5 linked regions of the Xenopus tropicalis genome follow. The protein of the gene in region 1 interacts with the protein of each later gene in a biochemical or structural test. Links are inferred from orthologs where the notes say so. Each region holds a gene or a part of one and is shown in the gene's direction. Other genes may lie near its edges.

Region 1 (4,753 bases):
CCCCCAATGTTTTCTTTTTTACAAATTACTAAAACACCCAACAGAACTCATTTGCACATTAACCCCTCAAACTCACATTTTTGCCCCCAAATGGAAGCAACTATAAGTAAGTATACATTTCCACGCTTATATTTGGGGGCAAAGATGTGATTTCTTAAGATTCTATCACATTGTATTTTGTCCCACCAATCCCAATTAAACCCAATGCTTATTACTTTTGGGGGGACTACAAATTCTTTTCCCTTTGTGAAACTATTCCTACCCCATAGCTCAGTTGTAGGCAGGGCTCTAGTAATGCTGCACACATTCTCAGCTCAGTCAATCATAAAAAAGCCCCAAGGAGGGCAAAAATGAGAAGATTTTGTGTAACATGTCCACCCAGGCCTGGACTGGCAATCTGTGGGTTCTGGCAAATGCCCACTTGTACCGCCCAGACCACTCCCTGTTCCACCCAGACCACTCCCTGTTCCACCCAGACCACTCCCTGTTCCACCCAGACCACACCCACTGTTTAATGCCCACACCAAGTATGGCAGATATAGGGACTGTAAGGCACATTTTACATACACGTAAAAGCAAAGTTGCTCCCAATAACCTGGAAATTGAAATGAAATTGGTATTAACCACACAGTTGAAACTATAACTCTCACACCTCAGATACATGTAGGGCTGCCCCTTGTTTTGTTATCATCAAGTACATTATTGTTACAGAAAGTAAAATGAGAAAAAAAGCTTTTTTAAATTAGCATCGCTGTATTTCAGAGCTTTCTGGATAACTGGTTTCTGTATAACAGATCCTTTGCCTTTAATGAAAGGCTTGGACTTACTGAAATCCAGCCAATAGCGTCATAGTGATGTAATAACTCTGCCCTGACATCATAACCAGGCCAGGCATTATTGTGTCTGCCTCTGATGTCATCATACACACCCCCAGCATCACTGCCCCGCCCCTGAATCCATCTGCCCCACCCCCTTTGTTTGGCTTTGCCCACAGCAAAGATGGCAACTCTAGATACAAGTAGTATGGGGCCAAGGGATTGGTCATAAGGCATTTCCCACAACACAACCCCAAACCGCCTGACCAGATACCCAGGCTCTAAGGGCAGCTGCTGTTCAATTGAACCAATTAAATTGAGATGGCATTGTCTGTGGCCCTGCATCCCAGGGGCCCTTGGGGGGAGGAGTAACTACAATTACAAAGAATTTAAAACACTGAATTCTTGTTTGTATCATCAGTATTTACATCATGGACGGGCAATCTGCCACTATTAAGGAAACTACAACTCCCAGAATCCTGCACAACCCCACCTTTTATCTAAGTTCCAATTAAGTTAAGAGGGCAGCAAACTGGCTTCATATTTCTTTATAGTAAACGAAAATATTAAACTCTATATGTAAAAGTTTCCACACCACAGTCATTTATATTCTACTAAACAGCTTCCCCGTTTCTGCGCAGGCGCACTCTTCCGCTTTCGATCGTCCCTCACCTGTCAATCACTCAGAAACCTTGAGAAGCCACGCCAAACCCGTCGCGCCGGAGTGGGCCGGCCCTCTCACTTCTCGCCACACCTTCAGATCTATACGCGACACACGTCACTCGGCCCAGTGGACGCCTTCAGCGAACGTAGATTGGGCGGAGCTCCAGTCCTATCAAATATAATTTAATAAAAATGACGTGAAGGGGGGGTGGTTTGAGGTGGAAGCGATTGACAGCACGTTGCTCCAATCAGCGTTCGCTTTATGCCTCCGGCCGCCAATAGGCCGTAGTGATTGACAAAGGAGGGCGGAGCCAGCGGCTGTGGCGAGGCTGAGGTTGGCCGGGTGAGAGAGCGGCGCGGTTCGGTGTGTGAGGAGCGGTGTGTGGGGGAGAGAAGGGGGACTAAGGATAACAATAATATATAGAGAAAGGGGAACAGGAACCCGGTGCCCGCTGGGGCTTTGGGGGCCGAGGCGCTAAGGGCCCGTCTGTATGAGCGGGGGCTTCCTCTGCCGCCATCTTGGTTCGGGGTCGTTGTTGCGTATTTCCCCCTCCTCCCTCCTGTCCAGTTAGGCCTGACCGGGCCGGGGAGCCGCCACATCTTCAGGTAATTGCACTTGCCGGCCTTTCGGCCTCTGTAGCGGGCGCTGAGCATGCTGGGAGTCGTAGTTCCACGATTGCTGGAGGCGGACGCGCTAGGGAGCTATTGGCCGGTCTGTAGTTTAAACGGAGAATAAACCCGAATGATAACTGTTCATTACTGTATAGATCAATAACCTCTGTCTTATAGCTGCTGGAGGATTATGGGAGTTGTAGTTCTGTAACAGCTGGCTGGATCCCTGGGAACATATGCTGCTGGGCTTCTGATCCCTATTCACCCATTTTCTCATATTTATGGGACTTTCTAAGTGCTCAGTTGTCAGTTCTTTCAGAATTTCTATAGTCAGAAATCAATGTCCTGTGTCTGTTCCATGGTCTGCACTTGGGCCTGGCCTTCTGATTGGCTGAGCCTGCTGGAGTTTGGTGCTGTTAAAAGTGGATCTACCCCCCCCAAATTCTAAGCAACTTTCCATTATACATTATTCATACTTTATTATTATAGAAACATGGTCTGTGCTTTGGTGTTCCTTCCAGCCTTGCGCGGCTGCCTTCTGCTGTGTTGCTTCGAAAGTCAGAACCTGCAGTGCAGAAGGGGGCAGACAAGTGCTGCGTTGAGTTGCAATTCTTCTTACAACTTTATGGGTGAAGACACACAGAGCTACTTAGTAGCAGCTACTTGTCACAGCTACTAAAGGCCAGAAAATCCCCTGCCATAGACAATACTGAGAATTGCCTCTGCTAAACCACACGTAGAGACAATTATCAGTAAATGATCAGCATTGTCTATTTTAGTAGCCGCAACAAGTAGCTGCTACTAGTAGCTCTGTGTGTCTTCAGCCTAAATCTATTGCGTTCCGTAATGACTGTACATTGGAGAGTTTTCTTTCTTTCTGTCTATTCTTTCTTAAGGCGAAGACACACAGAGCTACTTAGTAGCAGCTACTTGTCACGGCTGCTAACAGCCAGAAAATCCTCTGCCATAGACAATACTGAGAATTGCCTCTGCTAAACCACACGTAGAGACAATTATCAGTAAATGATCAGCATTGTCTATTTTAGTAGCCGCAACAAGTAGCTGCTACTAGTAGCTCTGTGTGTCTTCAGCCTAAATCTATTGCGTTCCGTAATGACTGTACATTGGAGAGTTTTCTTTCTTTCTGTCTATTCTTTCTTAAGGCGAAGACACACAGAGCTACTTAGTAGCAGCTACTTGTCACAGCTACAAAACGCCAGAAAATCCCCTGCCATAGACAATACTGAGAATTGCCTCTGCTAAACACACGTAGAGATAATTATCAGTAAATGATCAGCATTGTCTATTTTAGTAGCCGCAACAAGTAGCTGCTACTAGTAGCTCTGTGTGTCTTCACCCTAAATCTATTGCATTCTGTAATGACTGTACATTGAAGAGTTTTCTTTCTTTGTGTCTATTCTTTCTAAAGGTCCCCATACACTGGCAGATCTGCTCGCGTGGTGATGTCGCCAAGCGAGCGGATCTTCTCCCGATATCCCCACCTACAGGTGGGCGATATCGGGAGAATCCAGGCCCTGGGGCCAAATGATCAAATTTTAATGATGGGTATAGGTAAAGTCGATCTGGAGACCGCATCAACGAGCTGATGTGGTCCCCGATCCGACTAGATTTTCTAACCTGCCCGATTTCAGGCCAGATATTGGTCGGGCAGGCCTGTCCGAAGTGCCCATACACGGGCCGATTAGCTGCCGAATCGGTCTAAGGGACTGATATCAGCAGCTACTATCGGTCCGTGTATGGGGGCCTTAAAGACGAAGACACAAGGAGCTACTCAATAGCAGCTACTTGTCATGGCTACTAAACACCAGAAAATCCCCTGCCATAGACAATACTGAGAATTGCCTCTGCTAAAACACACGTAAAGACAATTATCAGTAAATGATCAGCATTGTCTATTTTAGTATCCGTGACAAGTAGCTGCTACTAGTAGCTCTATGTGTCTTCCCCCTTATGCTGCAGTTAGTCTGTTTATCATGCAATATAGCAGTTGTGTGATTAATGTCCACACATGGAATGAAAGAATCTAACCAAGATTTGATACATGTTGGCTATTTAAAAACCAAATATACATTGTTTCTTGGGTAACCACTATGATTCTGCTGCTTTTTAGACCAATGCTCATTAGAGAGGTGACATGCAGAATGGCTGCTTTTCCACTGTCTTAAATACATTTCCAGCAGATATGGCGCATAGGCTGTCAGCCTTAAGTGCACCCCAAAACTCTATACTCTATATCCCTTTACTCTAGGGATCAGGGCTATTGAGTTTAAATTGTGGGAATGATGCAGAACAGTTGCAGAGAATGACTGGCCTATTGACTTGCAATGACAGGAAAGTTACATACTTAGCTGACAAGAAATAGGTTTATTTACCCTTTATAAAGCCTGTATCTATGACACTTTCAGTAGCATGTACATATACTGAGTTGCTGGGGGGGGGGGGGGGGAACAGCAGTGGTCAAAACACTCCTGTTTTACTCACTATAAATCAGCTGTGATTTAGTAAGTGTGCTGTTAGTGTATTATTGTACCTGTGTGTGTGTTTGTGTGGCTTCCCAATATAGTTCATTTTGTCAACGTGTTACAGGCCTGTTTGCTTTTACTGTGGGGCTCAGTCTCCTGCTAATCACAACCTATTGTATC
Region 2 (4,038 bases), about 19 Mb from region 1:
CCCATAATTCGGACGATTCTGGATAATGGGTTTCCGGATAAGGGGTCCGATACCTGTAATTCATTTCTATAAGCTCAGTATTTAATGAGTGGATCTTTCCCCATTGTGCACACCTTTAAGGTGGGTGATATTGGATTAATCCAGTCATTTGGCCCTCGGGCCAGATAATCAAATCACATTGAGAGGATGTAGGCCGTTGGGACAAGAATCATATCAGTGATTCCATGCACTCCTTACAGGGATTTTTATACCTGCCCAATCGATATCTGGCTAATTTTCAACCAGATATCAGTCAGGGCCCCAATACACAGGCCAGTAAGCTGCCAGCTCGGTCCAGCAGAAGCTTTTACCAGCCCATGTATGGCCCCCTTTAGACATTCAGCTACCCCAGGCTGCAGCCAAGCTGATAAAAGGTAGATTGTTCTTCCATAAACCATTTTTTCCATTTGCTCCATTATAGAACAATTTTGCAGGAGAGGGTAACAACTTACTGCCTTTCCCAGTGTAAACGTATGACATTCTAATACTAGCTCCACCTCCTTAATTACTCTTTCAGTTGAATAAAGAGAAATGAATTATACAAAGGGAGAAAACATTGTGTTTAAATCATTTCCCTATTATGTATGTTATGTTATGTATATTCATACATACTCATATGTAAGTCATAATGAGAGATATATGAGAATAAGGTCTATAGAATTGCATGCCAGCTTTGGATATAACAGCTCTCACACCTACAATGGCTGTAATGCATAGTGAGCTGGGAAGGTTGCATGTTCTAATGGCTTCTAGCGTTCAAGCATAAGCAAACCTTGCTGTACAGTAATGCACACTACCGGCCACGGCAGCAATAACCAACCTGAATCTGCCACCTGAATATCTGGAAACTGTAGGAAAGGTGCTATGTGGTGTATCTCTGTACACAAGCCATCTATGTTTGGTGTATCACTGTGTGTACAAGCTACCTGTGTATCTCCTCTGACACCTGCACTGCTTCTGTGTACCTGTGTGCCTTGGTGCCTGGGTTACCTGTGTTTTTGGGTACCTGTGTGTGCGCCTGTGTGCTTGGGTGCCTGTGTGTGTGTGTGTGCTTGGGTTACCTGTGTGCTTGGGTACCTGTGTGTGTGTGTGCTTGGGTACCTGTGTGTGCCTGTGTGTTTGGGTTACCTGTGTGCTTTGGTTACCTGTGTGCTTTGGTTACCTGTGTGCTTGGTTACCTGTGTGCTTGGGTACCTGTGTGCTTGGGTACCTGTGTGCTTGGGTACCTGTGTGCTTGGGTACCTGTGTGCTTGGGTACCTGTGTGCTTGGGTACCTGTGTGCTTGGGTACCTGTGTGCTTGGGTTACCTGTGTGCTTGGGTACCTGTGTGTGTGCGCCTGTGTGCTTGGGTACCTGTGTGTGTGCGCCTGTGTGCTTGGGTACCTGTGTGTGTGCTCCTGTGTGCTTGGGTACCTGGGTGTGTGCGCCTGTGTGCTTGGGTACCTGGGTGTGTGCGCCTGTGTGCTTGGGTACCTGTGTGTGTGCGCCTGTGTGCTTGGGTACCTGTGTGTGAGTGTGTGTGTGCGCGCACGTGCCTGTGTGTTTGGGTACCTGTGTGTGTGTGCGCACACGCCTGTGTGCTTGGGTACCTGTGTGCGCGCCTGTGTGCTTGGGTTACCTGTGTGTGTGCTTGGGTGCCTGGGCATCTGCATGCCATACCTGCTTGCCTGTCCGAGTGCTTCAGTAATAACCTGTTGTGTTGTTAATGCATGCCTCACTAACCCATGTTGTTCCATCTGTCCCTTTATTCAGAGCATGCTGTCTAGGTCCTTTAATTCCACTTTCAGTGCAACTAGCAGCTCTCTCTATGGCAGCTGTAGAGATCTGCATGGCAGCCAGGGCAGTGTTGCCTTGAGTGTTGCTCCTGACAGAAGAGCTTCTGGTGGGCACATACTACGTGTGAGTAACAACTTACAGTAGCTTTTGTAGGACTGCAAATTTATAATGTGCCAGGATAATGCACCATATTGGGCTCAGTAACACATATATGTCATGTAGCAAGTCATATTTCCTAACCATGAACACTGGCTTATCTAATGGCTTGAAGAGGCATTCCCCATCCCACCCATTACTGGGATACACCAGTGATGCCTTAGTAATTATTCATCTATTACCTGCACTATTAGTTTAATGACTTATGGACTATTTGTTCTATAAACTTCCCATATCTTCCATATGGGCTTCCGACCCAAACATTATTATCATTGCAGTGGGCAGCACTAGTGTTTGGGGTCCATTTCAAGGATAGTGCTTCTTCTGAAATACAGAATGTTCTTCAGTCCTTCAGTGACATGGCGGACAGGTAACAAGCTTTAATGAGACTTGTGGGACTGCCAGGAGAATATGCCTTGCTCATTGTACTCTAACTACTAACATGATGTATGTTTCATTACTGATCCCTTTTAAACTAAATTCACTAACTGTTTCTAAAAGTTTAATTACAACCCAAATACTTATCCTACAGCTATGACTGGTTTAGATTCTAACTCTTCTAGGTTTTGGTTACTAACAAAAATACTATCTTTTCTACAAATCCAAATGTTCCTCTAAGATGGGGCAGTTTGTGGTGCAAAACTAGGGTATAACTATTTAAGGATCAGAGTGACTGCTGGATTTCCATAAAAGTGTTGTCTAAACAAATTACTAATTGTAAAGGAGAAGAAAGGTAAAAACTAAGTAAGCTTTATCAGAAAGGTCTATATAAATACAGCCATAAGCGCTCACAGAAACGCTGCACTGAGTCCTCTATCAAAAGAAATACAGGATTTCTTGTCTCCTTGTCCTCCGCTGTATTTATATATAGGCACCCAGGGACCTTTAACTAGGGTGGCAGCTTTAGTGGGTAGACCTCAGGGGCCCATATATTTGTTAACATTTTAAAAGCAGCTGCCAGATTATACCTGATCAAATCCAGTGGTGGAGCTGGAGGGGTGAGGTGCAGAGGGTAGAGAGTGAGGGGCAAAATTCATGTCACTTCTGCAAGCTAAGGGTGCTTTTTAGGGTGGCACGGGACCTAAATACAGCCCTGTACGTATTAGTATTGAGAAACTATTTTTGTGATGGTTTTGCATCACCCACTGATCAGGGAAAATCCAGGTTCTAACTGTAACAGGAAGAAATGTGGGAATATAAGCCACACCTCTCCATCCATTCATTGGCTGGTGTAACCTAGCCTGTATGTGTCCTTGATTTGTGTGTCAGCACATACTATTAAAAATTGCTGTAGAGTGGAGTTTGCCTTTAACTGAGATTTATCTTATGTCTGCTTCTGTGACTGGGCCCATATATTACCGGTAAGGATTGGTCCAATCAATCTGACCTTAAAGGGACAGTATACCCTTTTTCAACATGTGTTCAGTGAATAGGGCTTGTGCTGAACATACGTTTTGCCTATTTTTTTTAATTAGGAAATATATAAGGATTTTGTTGTGTCTCAGTGGCTGCTGGTTAGTTTGACTGTGCCACACACTGGTGCCCCACTGTGCATGCCATTCAGAGGCACAATGTAGGGAGCAATGGTAAGAAGACCTTAGATCCGGCACTCAGTGCAGAGACCAGCAATCCCTAATTTTCAATCTTAATTTTTTGTCAGTATCACTTTAATATATAGTGTACTTTTGCCCTTCACTGGTTAATGTTGTGTGCAGCTATTCAAATTGAAAAAAAGTAGAAAAGGCAGAGGTTACATAGCAGATAACTGATAAGCTTGTAGATTCACATTATTCTACAGAGATTATCTCTTATCTGCTATGTAACCTGTGCCTTTTCTACTTTTTTCAATTTGAATAGCTGCCTCTCTCCATGGCTGCACAGCAGCTTTGTTTATATAAACTATAGTAGTGTTTCCGAAACAAACACACAACTTTTACCAATGCAGGGCAATAGTACATGATATATTTGATACTTTGAAACACTTTAATTTTTTGGTGTTACTGTTACTTTAAGGAATTTGCTCTTGAAGATACTGCTGGAAATGATGGATAAATCAAAGACTGAAAT
Region 3 (4,038 bases), on another chromosome or scaffold:
GAGAAGTATGTGTTACAGAATCCAGTGATATTCGTTTCTGTATGCTTAGTTATTTGCACTAGACAGAAACTGTTTTTATGATGATATGTGAGGGCACTTATGTCATTGTTACCCACAGATGATGAAAGCGATGAACAAATCCAATGAGCATGTGCTTGCCATAGGTGCATGCTTCAATCAGATGGCTGACTCTCACCTTGTGTGTGTGCAGAATGATGATGGCAATTACCAGACCCAGGCCATTAGTATCCACAAACAGCCACGTAAAGGTGAGAAGGATGTAACATACTCACCTGGCATTGCCAGGAAAGTTATTAACTTACATATTTTATTTGTTTGGATTCTGTCGCAATATAATTTTTACACAGAATACAAGTTTGAGGAACTCAATATAATGGGATGATTCCTCCTTAATGTTGTCCGTCTATGTTAACACCCTCTAAAAGCAACACATTAACCATTGAGTCTTCTTTTGTAATTTTAGTGACTGGGGCCAGCTTTTTTGTCTTCAGTGGGGCTCTAAAGTCTTCTTCCGGCTACCTGGCCAAATCCAGCATTGTAGAAGGTAAAATATAAAAACCTAAGCTTTGTCACATTTACCAAGGTCTGGAAAATTCTTACTGTGTGGCATTATACATTAGATAGTTGTATTAGCTAAGCTGAAATTATGGATGCACCAAGATTTAGCCAGTATGCATCACTGTTTGCATAATTAAGGATATGGTAAAATCCTTAGTGCTTTGGTCAAACCCTTAAAGTCATATGAATTTAAAGTTCTGGCTGAACTGTTGGCTGTTCACAGATGATGCTTATTTTTTCAGATTCAAAAATTCAAGTTAGGGTCCCTATTTGGTTTGTTTTTCAGACAAATGTTTTGTGGAGGATTTGGCCAAATCCAAAAAATTAGGGATTTGGTGCATTCCTGTTGAGACTTGATTTAAAGGTTTATTGGCAGAAGAGTTTAAATTTTTACATTAATAATACTTTATTACAAACATGGATATTCAAAAAATATCCATGTTTTAAAAATGTGAATGTATCTTCCACCACATGATGCAAGCCCTTCTGTGTCCCAGATGGGGTAATGGTTCAGATCACCGCAGAGAGCATGGATGCCCTCAGACAGTCCCTTAGGGAGATGAAGGACTTCACCATTACATGTGGAAAAGCTGATGCAGAGGAGACACAGGAGCATGTCTATGTCCAGTGGGTGGAGGATGACAAGAATTTCAACAAAGGGTAAGAAATCTTTGAACCCCATCAATGACTCACTTGGTTTCCCACTGATCTCAGAGGGTGTCCACTCGGCATTTGCACAATCCTTTTAGGAAAAGGGTTTATCAGAGAATGCATTGATTGTATCCCCCAAACATTGTAGGTCTCTATAAAAATACATTGCATAAACAAGCTCATATGTAAAACCCTGCTTCATCTAAATAAACCAGTTTTAGAAAATTATACTTTTTTAGTAGTATGTGCTATTGGGTAATCCTAAATAGATTAAGGGCCACCTCCTAGGATCATAGGATTCACAGCGCACACAAACAAGCCAAGGCACACATACATGCTAGGCCACATCAGCCAGTTAATGAACAGAGTTCTTCCATTTGCTTCCACACTTCTTCCTGTTACATTTAGAGCTGCATTATTTCTTTGTCATGTGATCACTGAGGGAGAACAAAGCCCATTACTAAATGGCGGATCAAGGGAAAGGATGTAAAAGGGCAATATTTACTGATAAATATATTCCAGTTTGGCGAGATTCTTTAATAGTTTATATTATGTTAAGTGACCTATGTATTGGTTAAGTATTCCTTTAAGTATTGTATAGTTTTCCTTTAAGGTGGCCATACACAGGGTTTCATATAGGCCTGCTAACCGATACCTGGCTCGAAATTGGCCAGCTGTTGATCATGCAGAGTTAAAATTTATTGGGAATTAAATCCTGTTGGGGTGAGGAGTGCATCAGCTTGTTGATGAGGTCCTTGCCTAATGGCCTGCACCTCTGTCAATGTAATCCGATCGTTTTGCTCGAGGGTCAGTGATTGCATCAAGCAGATATTGCCCACCTCAAGGTGAGAATATAAGGGACCTTGCCAAACAAGAGGATCTTTCAGTGTATGGCCAGCTTAAGGTGCCTTTAAGTTGGGTGCCAAAAGTGTACTGCATACCCATGATGGTATGTCCAATTAATAATAGGCAGACTTGTGCTTGCATCTCTTGAATGAAATGCTCCTTTTATACAGGTACAAATTCTGGAGTGCCATGTCTGGCACTGAAATAGAAATAGCTTAAAGTATTTCTAGCTTGTTTGTTAGTAGATGCATTATTTAACATTTATCCACTTTGAACCTCATCGTAATAAGTAGCAATAAGCAGTATATATCACTGGAATATCCTACAATTTAGAATCTCTAAATACAGCATGAATTTTATGAGTATTGCCAGAAGAGGAATGGCTAGTAGTTTTATGGCTACAGTATACTGCCCTAGGAGAGTCTTTACTCTGATGTGTTTTGTTGAAGGGAGGCTTCTTCATATTCATTCCACTTTAATTATATTGCAATAAAGTGTTTGTATTTAAACAGAATAAGTCAACTGAATCAAACTCTAACCCTTTTTTCACCTGTGTCCTTTATTCTGGTGCAGCGTTTTTAGTCCGATTGATGGCAAATCAATGGAGTCTGTGACCAGTGTCAAGATTTTTCATGGCTCAGAATACAAAGCTAGTGGTAAAATCATTCGCTGGACAGAGGTATGCAGTGAAAATGGATGATGCTAAAGGAAATGCATATATATGCTCAATTTGGAGTGTTCAGGAAACTGCAGTTTGACAGCAATTGACAGCAATTTGGTACTCTCCTTTAAACCTCCTGGATCAGGCATTCCAAACCCTGGTTGGCTAGGTTGGAAAAGTTGTTTATGACAGGAGATACAGTGGAGGAAATAATTATTTGACCCCTCACTGATTTTGTAAGTTTGTCCAATGACAAAGAAATGAAAAGTCTCAGAACAGTATCATTTTACTGGTAGGTTTATTTTAACAGTGGCAGATAGCACATCAAAAGGAAAATCGAAAAAATAACTTTAAATAAAAGATAGCAACTGATTTGCATTTCATTGAGTGAAATAAGTTTTTGAACCCCTACCAACCATTAAGAGTTCTGGCTCCCACAGAGTGGTTAGACACTTCTACTCAATTAGTCAACCTCATTAAGGACACCTGTCTTAACTAGTCACCTGTATAAAAGACACCTGTCCACAGAATCAATCAATCAAGCAGACTCCAAACTCTCCAACATGGGAAAGACCAAAGAGCTGTCCAAGGATGTCAGAGACAAAATTGTAGACCTGCACAAGGCTGGAATGGGCTACAAAACCATTAGCAAGAAGCTGGGAGAGAAGGTGACAACTGTTGGTGCGATTGTTCGAAAATGGAAGGAGCACAAAATGACCATCAATCGACCTCGCTCTGGGGCTCCACGCAAGATCTCACCTCGTGGGGTGTCAATGATTCTGAGAAAGGTGAAAAAGCATCCTAGAACTACACGGGAGGAGTTAGTTAATGACCTCAAATTAGCAGGGACCACAGTCACCAAGAAAACCATTGGAAACACATTACACCGCAATGGATTAAAATCCTGCAGGGCTCGCAAGGTCCCCCTGCTCAAGAAGGCACATGTGCAGGCCCGTCTGAAGTTTGCCAATGAACACCTGAATGATACTGTGAGTGACTGGGAGAAGGTGCTGTGGTCTGATGAGACCAAAATAGCTCTTTGGCATTAACTCAACTCGCTGTGTTTGGAGGAAGAAAAATGCTGCCTATGACCCCCAAAACACCGTCCCCACCGTCAAGCATGGGGGTGGAAACATTTTGCTTTGGGGGTGTTTTTCTGCTAAGGGCACAGGACAACTTATTCGCATTAACGGGAAAATGGACGGAGCCATGTATCGTGAAATCCTGAACGACAACCTCCTTCCCTCTGCCAGGAAACTGAAAATGGGTCGTGGATGGGTGTTCCAGCACGACAATGACCC
Region 4 (4,038 bases), on another chromosome or scaffold:
CTCAGTGCCAGTCTTATAGCCTCAGTGCCAGATCTTATAGCCTCAGTGCCAGATCTTATAGCCTCAGTGCCAACCTTATAGCCTCAGTGCCAGATCTTATAGCCACAGTGCCGTATCTTATAGCCTCAATGCCAACCTTATAGCCTCAGTGCCGTATCTTATAGCCTCAGTGCCGTATCTTATAGCCTCAGTGCCAGTCTTATAGCCTCAGTGCCAGTCTTATAGCCTCAGTGCCAGATCTTATAGCCTCAGTGCCAGTCTTATAGCCTCAGTGCCAGATCTTATAGCCTCAGTGCCAGTCTTATAGCCTCAGTGCCAGTCTTATAGCCTCAGTGCCAACCTTATAGCCTCAGTGCCAACCTTATAGCCTCAGTGCCAACCTTATAGCCTCAGTGCCAGTCTTATAGCCTCAGTGCCAGTCTTATAGCCTCAGTGCCGTATCTTATAGCCTCAGTGCCGTATCTTATAGCCTCAGTGCCAGTCTTATAGCCTCAGTGCCGTATCTTATAGCCTCAGTGCCAGATCTTATAGCCTCAGTGCCAGATCTTATAGCCTCAGTGCCAGTCTTATAGCCTCAGTGCCGTATCTTATAGCCTCAGTGCCAGATCTTATAGCCTCAGTGCCGTATCTTATAGCCTCAGTGCCAGATCTTATAGCCTCAGTGCCGTATCTTATAGCCTCAGTGCCAGATCTTATAGCCTCAGTGCCAGATCTTATAGCCTCAGTGCCAGTCTTATAGCCTCAGTGCCAGTCTTATAGCCACAGTGCCGTATCTTATAGCCTCAGTGCCGTATCTTATAGCCTCAGTGCCAGATCTTATAGCCTCAGTGCCAGATCTTATAGCCTCAGTGCCAGATCTTATAGCCTCAGTGCCAGATCTTATAGCCTCAGTGCCAGATCTTATAGCCTCAGTGCCGTATCTTATAGCCTCAGTGCCGTATCTTATAGCCTCAGTGCCGTATCTTATAGCCTCAGTGCCAACCTTCTAGCCTCTGTGCCATATCTGGAGTGCTGCCATACTGCTACAGACAATATTAACCCTTCGTTTCAGGCTGTATGTGAACTGGCGGTTCCTGCGGGGGATCGAGGCGCAGTTTCTGGCTCTGCAGAAGGGGTTTAACGAGGTGATTCCCCAGCACTTGCTGAAAGCATTTGATGAAAAGGAACTAGAGGTGAGTGAGTCGGCCATTAGCCCGGGAGTGGGTGCCTCAGGCCCATACACACAGCCTGGGGGGGCTCTGGGTGCCACAAATACCAACCCCCCCGGCCAGAAAACTCCCCCTTAGTTAAACTACAACTTGCCCTCATTAACTAAAACCATAAATGTTTTCTCAGTAGTAAGTTCCCATACGGTGTTTGTATGAAAGGTGTGTTTCTGGGGGTCTTTTATAATCTCCGCACCCTGCATGGAACTTATAGTTCTGCCCAATTTAGTGTCGCCAGCAAAAATACAACAGTACCGTCTGTGCCCCCCCCCCCAGGGCATTAATAAACAAGCAAAGGCCCAAGGACTGACCCCTGCGGTACCCACTAACCACACTGGCCCAAGGACTGACCCCTGCGGTACCCACTAACCACACTGGTCCAAGGACTGACCCCTGCGGTACCCACTAACCACACTGGCCCAAGGACTGACCCCTGCGGTACCCACTAACCACACTGGTCCAAGGACTGACCCCTGCGGTACCCACTAACCACACTGGCCCAAGGACTGACCCCTGCGGTACCCACTAACCACACTGGCCCAAGGACTGACCCCTGCGGTACCCACTAACCACACTGGTCCAAGGACTGACCCCTGCGGTACCCACTAACCACACTGGTCCAAGGACTGACCCCTGCGGTACCCACTAACCACACTGGCCCAAGGACTGACCCTTGCGGTACCCACTAACCACACTGGCCCAATTAGAAACTGTTCCATTTCCCCCCACTCTTTGTACTCTATCCTTCAGCCAGTTCTCTATCCAATTACAAATATTATGTTCTAGGCCAATATTCCTTAATTTGATCATTAACCCTCTGTGAGGTACTGTATCAAACGCTTTAGCAAAGTCCAAGTAGATCCCATCCACTGCCATTCCAGCATCAAGGTTCCTACTCACCTCCTCATAAAGGCGACTAAATGAGTCAGATCTGTTACCCATAAACCCCTGTGGCACAAACTAATAGTATTGTGAACTGCAATGTATTCAACTATCCTATCCCTTATTACCCCTTCCAGAAGCTTTCCTACTACTGATGTCAGACTAACAGGCCTATAGTTTTCAGGCTGAGAGCGGGATCGCTGTTTAAATAACGGCACCACATTAGCAATTGGCCAGTCTCTCGGCACCATGCCCGACCTCAGGGAATCCTGGGAAATTAAGGGAAGAGGTTTGGCAATCACAGCGCTGAGCCCAATTAATACCCTGGGATGAATCCCATCCGGCCCTGGACCTTTCCCTTTGTTATGCTCTTGTTCTTTTCCTGCTATACAAATGCGCCGGGCCGAGAGTAACTTACCCCCTGTGGTGCTTCAGACAAACTCATCCCCGTGTTGTTGTTGCAGCTGATTATCTGCGGCCTGGGGAAGATCGATGTGAATGACTGGAAGTCGAACACGCGGCTAAAACACTGCACGGCTGACAGTAACATCGTGAAATGGTTCTGGAAAGCGGTGGAGTCGTTTGATGAAGAGCGAAGGGCCCGGCTGCTGCAGTTTGTCACCGGCTCCTCCCGCGTCCCCCTCCAGGGCTTTAAGGCATTACAGGGTAGGTACTGGGCCCAAATATACCCCAAATAAGCTCCTCCCCATTTCATTTGGGGGCGAGTTCCATGGAGTGCCGGGGGCAGAGGGGGCGAGTTCCATGGAGTGCCGGGGGCAGAGGGGGCGAGTTCCATGGAGTGCCGGGGGCAGAGGGGGCGAGTTCCATGGAGTGCCGGGGGCAGAGGGGGCGAGTTCCATGGAGTGCCGGGGGCAGAGGGGGCGAGTTCCATGGAGTGCCGGGGGCAGAGGGGGCGAGTTCCATGGAGTGCCGGGGGCAGAGGGGGCGAGTTCCATGGAGTGCCGGGGGCAGAGGGGGCGAGTTCCATGGAGTGCCAGGGGCAGAGGGGGCGAGTTCCATGGAGTGCCGGGGGCAGAGGGGGCGAGTTCCATGGAGTGCCGGGGGCAGAGGGGGCGAGTTCCATGGAGTGCCGGGGGCAGAGGGGGCGAGTTCCATGGAGTGCCGGGGGCAGAGGGGGCGAGTTCCATGGAGTGCCGGGGGCAGAGGGGGCGAGTTCCATGGAGTGCCGGGGGCAGAGGGGGCGAGTTCCATGGAGTGCCGGGGGCAGAGGGGGCGAGTTCCATGGAGTGCCTGAGTTTCTGTGGGCGGGGCCTCTCACTGCAGGGTATTGTGGGAATCCTGTGCTGGTATTGGCTGATCTAATTCTCCCTTGTTACGGGCAGGTGCTGCGGGGCCGAGACTTTTCACCATTCACCAGATCGACGCCAGCACTAACAACCTACCCAAGGCTCATACCTGGTAAGCCTTCTTACCCCCCTCCAAGCCTTCTTACCCCCCTCCAAGCCTTCTTACCCCCCCTCCAAGCCTTCTTACCCCCTCCAAGCCTTCTTACCCCCCCCAAGCCTTCTTACCCCCCCCAAGCCTTCTTACCCCCCCAAGCCTTCTTACCCCCCCCAAGCCTTCTTACCCCCCCCAAGCCTTCTTACCCCCCCCAAGCCTTCTTACCCCCCCAAGCCTTCTTACCCCCCTCCAAGCCTTCTTACCCCCCCAAGCCTTCTTACCCCCCCCCAAGCCTTCTTACCCCCCCCCCAAGCCTTCTTACCCCCCCCCCAAGCCTTCTTACCCCCCCCCCCATGTTTACTTGTTCTTTTGCCCCTCTCTTGCTGGTAGAAGGGGCAGGACCCGGGCAGACATCCCATAACCTTTCCCCCTCTCTCTCTCTCTCAGCTTTAACCGCATAGACATCCCGCCGTACGAGACCTACGAGAAGCTGTATGAGAAGTTGCTGACGGCCATCGAGGAGACGTGTGGGTTTGCTGTGGAGTGACCT
Region 5 (4,038 bases), on another chromosome or scaffold:
GGTGTTGCTTAACAGAAATATGTTGTTGTGCATGCTGGTATCTGAGCGAGAGGGGAAGTGTCACTTCTGGTCCAGTCCTCCACCCCCATATGTCATTCTGTCAATCTTTATAACAACAACAATACCAACTAGGAACTATAGAAGCTTATAATGCATTTGTATTCAACTGCAAACATGTTTTGTATGTGCAGAATTCCTGTCTAACTACTCAATAGCATTAGGGCAAGTTAAAATGTTGGATGCGTTTTCTAAAAGATCTTCCTCTGTGCTTATTTTTTATGGCACTTACCTAAAGATTTATTAACTATGCATATGTATTTTGTGTTTCAATCTAATCTAAAATCTCTCATATAATATTACTGTCAAAGTCAAGCAATCGATTCTTTGCACTGCATTGATCATAGATCAGTACTAATTATATTCTTGATTTTTTTTTTCTTGCTGCAGGAGTTGGAGTTCCTGCGAGTTGCTAAAAAAGAAAAGTTAAGAGAGGCGACTGAGGCAAAGCGCAACTTAAGAAAAGAGATTGAGCGTCTGAGGGCAGAGAATGAAAAGAAAATGAAAGAAGCAAATGAATCTCGGTTACGTCTGAAAAGAGAGCTGGAGCAAGCCAGACAGATTAGGGTGTGTGACAAAGGCTGTGAAGCTGGCAGGATACGGGTCAAATACTCCGCCCAGGTAATCATTTAGTGCTTTAAATAAAACCATGTATCTTACCAACATGCTTAATATCTGTATATTTTTTTTATTCGGTCCACTGTGTTAGTCGGGTTAAATAAAGTGCTCTAATCTTCTAGTTTCAACAGTCTTTCCGCAGCTGGTTTGCTCCTACTGATTTGTTTGTTAATAATTTTCTTGCCATGCTGAAAAAAAATATATGCAGCATTCTTTTAAACAGCTTAGAGACATTGCATTTCTTTGAAAATGCTCAGTCAATAACGGGAAGGGGTGTGCACTCATTCTACTGATGTGAGACATGCCAAACTTAGGAGACCAGAAGCAGGAAATGATGTGGACTTCCTCTTCAGCACTAGGCTGATAAGAGGCATCCAGACTAAACATTACCAGAGTAAGAACTGTATTAAGGGTGTTACCTGCTTACTTCCATCTTTACATAATACAAAGCTGCAGCTGGGTCCTGATCAGGAAACTTGGCTTATCAGAATGTTTTTCTAGCCCAGAGTTACCTTGAAATCTCAGGGTTGCCTGTCTCCCTAATGATGCTGCTTTTAGGTACTCTTGCGTGGCCCACAAGTTTTTCCAAAAACAGTTCACATGCAGTTTAAATGAATCTGCAATCTATTATGCACACATTACGTCTCTCTTGTGCTACATGAGTGTAACGAATACAGCTTGTGCTGAACATCCTTTTTGCCTAATGTCTTTTTGACATTTTGACATATTTTTGTTATTACTTGAGCTAAGTAGAGAATCTAAAGGTCTAAAGAATCAATGTTTCTACTTTTTGAGGACAATGTTTAGGTTGCCATTATACAACCCCTCCCATCATCCTTTTTTTGGATTTGTTTTGTCCTGCAAGAAACAGATTATTGATTACTGATATGACCAGTTTTATTCCAAGATGTGCTTTGCTCTGTACACTCTGCTTTGTGGAATGGGCAGTAAACGACAGATAAAAAAAAAAAAAAAAGGAGTTTGTTTATTACTTCAAAGGTGGAGTATTTGCTTGTGATGAAACCACATGAAATACTGAAAATGTTTTCTTTAAATTTCAGATTGAGGAGCTACAGTCTAAGCTTCAGCATGCAGAAAATGACAGAGAACAGCTACGGACAGATCTAGTACAAGAACGAGAAGCCAGAGAACACTTGGAAAAAGTGGTGAAAGACCTCCAGGAACAGCTCTGGTCGAAGACCAGCCATCTTCCCAGCAGTGAACACACAAGGAAAGACATTGAAAACTAATTCAAAAACTTTTAAGAAAAATAAATACCTTATCTATTCATATACAGAATTTTACGTATATGCACAGGAAAAGGAGGAGAATGCGCGACGTATGCATGAATAGGTGCATGTGTGAGTGTATGGAGCGTGTGCCTTGGGGCACGCTAAAAAGAAAAAAAAAAAACTTACTAGTCAGAGGGAAAATGTTACTCTATACAACAGAAGCACTGAACTATGCCTCTTTTAAATCTACACAGCACAACATCTTACTGTGCCTCAGAGTGTTTATATAGAGTCCTTTTGGCTCTCCAGTGAAACCATTTTTTTTTCTACAAGTCAACTACAAGAGAACAACTGCATCCAGCAAAGCTGCTTGCTTGGAACACTTTGGGATTTACATTTTCTTATAAGCTATTTAATATAAAAAGATATATTAAAATGTTGAGGACCTTCAAAAGACTGTGTATTGAAAATAGAAGAAAAGAAAAAAAAAACTATCAGACAAGATTTTTGTATAATGGACTTAAAAACCTTGATGCACAATTTTATCTGACTTGTTACAAGCTTTGGGGTTTCTTATAGAAGCACCCTCTACTCCTTACTCCCCCCCCACCCCCCTCCCCCCAGTCTCCATACTATTCATGTCGATTGTGCAATGTACTTGTAGCAAGCCATCACTATTATTCCCTATCATTTATGGACTTTTCCATCAAACAAAAAAAAAATCAGAGTGCTCCATCTTGGTTTTTATTTAAATTTTTAAAAATATTTTATATATATATATATAATATATATATATATATATATATATATATATATATATATATATATATATATATATATATATATATATATATATATATATTATATTAATCTCACAAGGACAAATGTTTGTAACTATGTAGGATAACAACTTTCCAGGGCTACAGAGAGAAAAAAAAGAAACTGCTCGGCTTTACTGACCAGTGTTTCATCTCATCATAATAGAAAATGATCTTTGGGCATATGTGTTTAAATGTTCAATCCACCACCATAAAGGGAAAAAGATAAGGACGGATTTTGTAACATTAACATGGACTGTCAAACTTTGTGGAAAGAATGATGCTAGTATTTGGAGATATATATATATATATATATATATATCGGATTTATGGTAAACTGTTTTTTGTTACAAACATATTTGCTGAATTCAGTATTTAATCTATATTTTCACCCCTCTGTGCACTGAGGTATTTGCCATTGGTTATCAGTTTGGCACAATGTAGAATACCAGAATGGGCAGAAAATACACTGGGGGCTAGGAATCGGATATTATATAAATTGCTATATTTTGAGAATGAGGCCTCACCACTAATGAAAACAAATTCCGTGTAACATTTCTTTCCTCTATTTGTAATGTACTTATGTATTCAACTTTAAAGACTGCACTTTTTTGCTCTTGGCCTTTTCAGTCATGCATACGGAGTAAGAGCTATTATTTAATAGTGAAATATACAAATAAAGCACAATAAAATATGCAATAATACCTTCCAATGCCTCCCCATCAACCCATTTGATTCTCTTAACTAATATGTGACAAACTAACCAATACAAGCCATTATATCCTGCAGGGCACCAGCATGTGCACCTTGGGAAGTCATGGTAGAGAAATTCATATAGAACAGTTCACACTTATAGTTTTTGATGTACATCTTTAAACTGTGGGAAAAATGTGGTGCCCTATCCTCAAATTATAGTTATTTAGCAACTTAAATGAACATTGCTACTCTTGACTGAATCCACTCCTCACATTTAATAACTGACTGATTATCAAGGTGGCTGGACAAAGCTGTTGTTGATGGCATTTTCTTTACTATAACATGATAAAGGATTTTAGGAAAAGCAATGTATCTTAATATGCCTTTGGGATGAGTTGCAAGTAACTTGATTTTTATTGGAGTATAATTTTTTGGAGAGGGCTGCAAGGAATCCTGTTGGATAAAATCATGTTTAAAAACCAAAGGTTTGCAAGTTGGCATTGATAAAAACTGGTGAAAATTCAGCCCCGGTGCTAAAACAGTTACAGTTTTTACACTCTTAAAAGGTCTTAGTAAGCTTTGCTTGCATTGGTTGCTTTTTCCACTTTTATCATTGA

What was found.
Region 2: the proteins of smad2 (region 1) and erbin form a complex in vitro, tested with the Homo sapiens proteins (2 studies listed by BioGRID). The link is inferred for Xenopus tropicalis from reciprocal best matches to the Homo sapiens genes SMAD2 and ERBIN.
Region 3: the proteins of smad2 (region 1) and zfyve9 are reported together in a solved structure, tested with the Homo sapiens proteins (2 studies listed by BioGRID and IntAct, with this or other methods). The link is inferred for Xenopus tropicalis from reciprocal best matches to the Homo sapiens genes SMAD2 and ZFYVE9.
Region 4: the proteins of smad2 (region 1) and smurf2 form a complex in vitro, tested with the Homo sapiens proteins (3 studies listed by BioGRID and IntAct, with this or other methods). The link is inferred for Xenopus tropicalis from reciprocal best matches to the Homo sapiens genes SMAD2 and SMURF2.
Region 5: the proteins of smad2 (region 1) and ski form a complex in vitro, tested with the Homo sapiens proteins (4 studies listed by BioGRID). The link is inferred for Xenopus tropicalis from reciprocal best matches to the Homo sapiens genes SMAD2 and SKI.

The regions. Positions count from the first base shown.
Region 1 is NC_030677.2:206,088,417-206,093,169, forward strand, and holds the start of smad2 (mothers against decapentaplegic homolog 2), read left to right. Parts: upstream 1-1,713; 5' UTR 1,714-1,821; exon of another isoform or gene 1,822-2,084; intron 2,085-4,753. UniProt on the Homo sapiens protein: Receptor-regulated SMAD (R-SMAD) that is an intracellular signal transducer and transcriptional modulator activated by TGF-beta (transforming growth factor) and activin type 1 receptor kinases.
Region 2 is NC_030677.2:187,512,073-187,516,110, reverse strand, and holds part of erbin (erbin), read left to right. Parts: intron 1-1,791; coding exon 1,792-1,938; intron 1,939-4,038. UniProt on the Homo sapiens protein: Acts as an adapter for the receptor ERBB2, in epithelia. By binding the unphosphorylated 'Tyr-1248' of receptor ERBB2, it may contribute to stabilize this unphosphorylated state.
Region 3 is NC_030680.2:96,608,005-96,612,042, forward strand, and holds part of zfyve9 (zinc finger FYVE domain-containing protein 9), read left to right. Parts: intron 1-118; coding exon 119-269; intron 270-484; coding exon 485-565; intron 566-1,076; coding exon 1,077-1,239; intron 1,240-2,649; coding exon 2,650-2,755; intron 2,756-4,038. UniProt on the Homo sapiens protein: Early endosomal protein that functions to recruit SMAD2/SMAD3 to intracellular membranes and to the TGF-beta receptor.
Region 4 is NC_030686.2:51,464,903-51,468,940, forward strand, and holds part of smurf2 (E3 ubiquitin-protein ligase SMURF2), read left to right. Parts: intron 1-1,051; coding exon 1,052-1,172; intron 1,173-2,551; coding exon 2,552-2,753; intron 2,754-3,430; coding exon 3,431-3,506; intron 3,507-3,935; coding exon 3,936-4,035; 3' UTR 4,036-4,038. UniProt on the Homo sapiens protein: E3 ubiquitin-protein ligase which accepts ubiquitin from an E2 ubiquitin-conjugating enzyme in the form of a thioester and then directly transfers the ubiquitin to targeted substrates.
Region 5 is NC_030683.2:91,191,903-91,195,940, reverse strand, and holds part of ski (ski oncogene), read left to right. Parts: intron 1-447; coding exon 448-678; intron 679-1,736; coding exon 1,737-1,925; 3' UTR 1,926-4,038. UniProt on the Homo sapiens protein: May play a role in terminal differentiation of skeletal muscle cells but not in the determination of cells to the myogenic lineage. Functions as a repressor of TGF-beta signaling.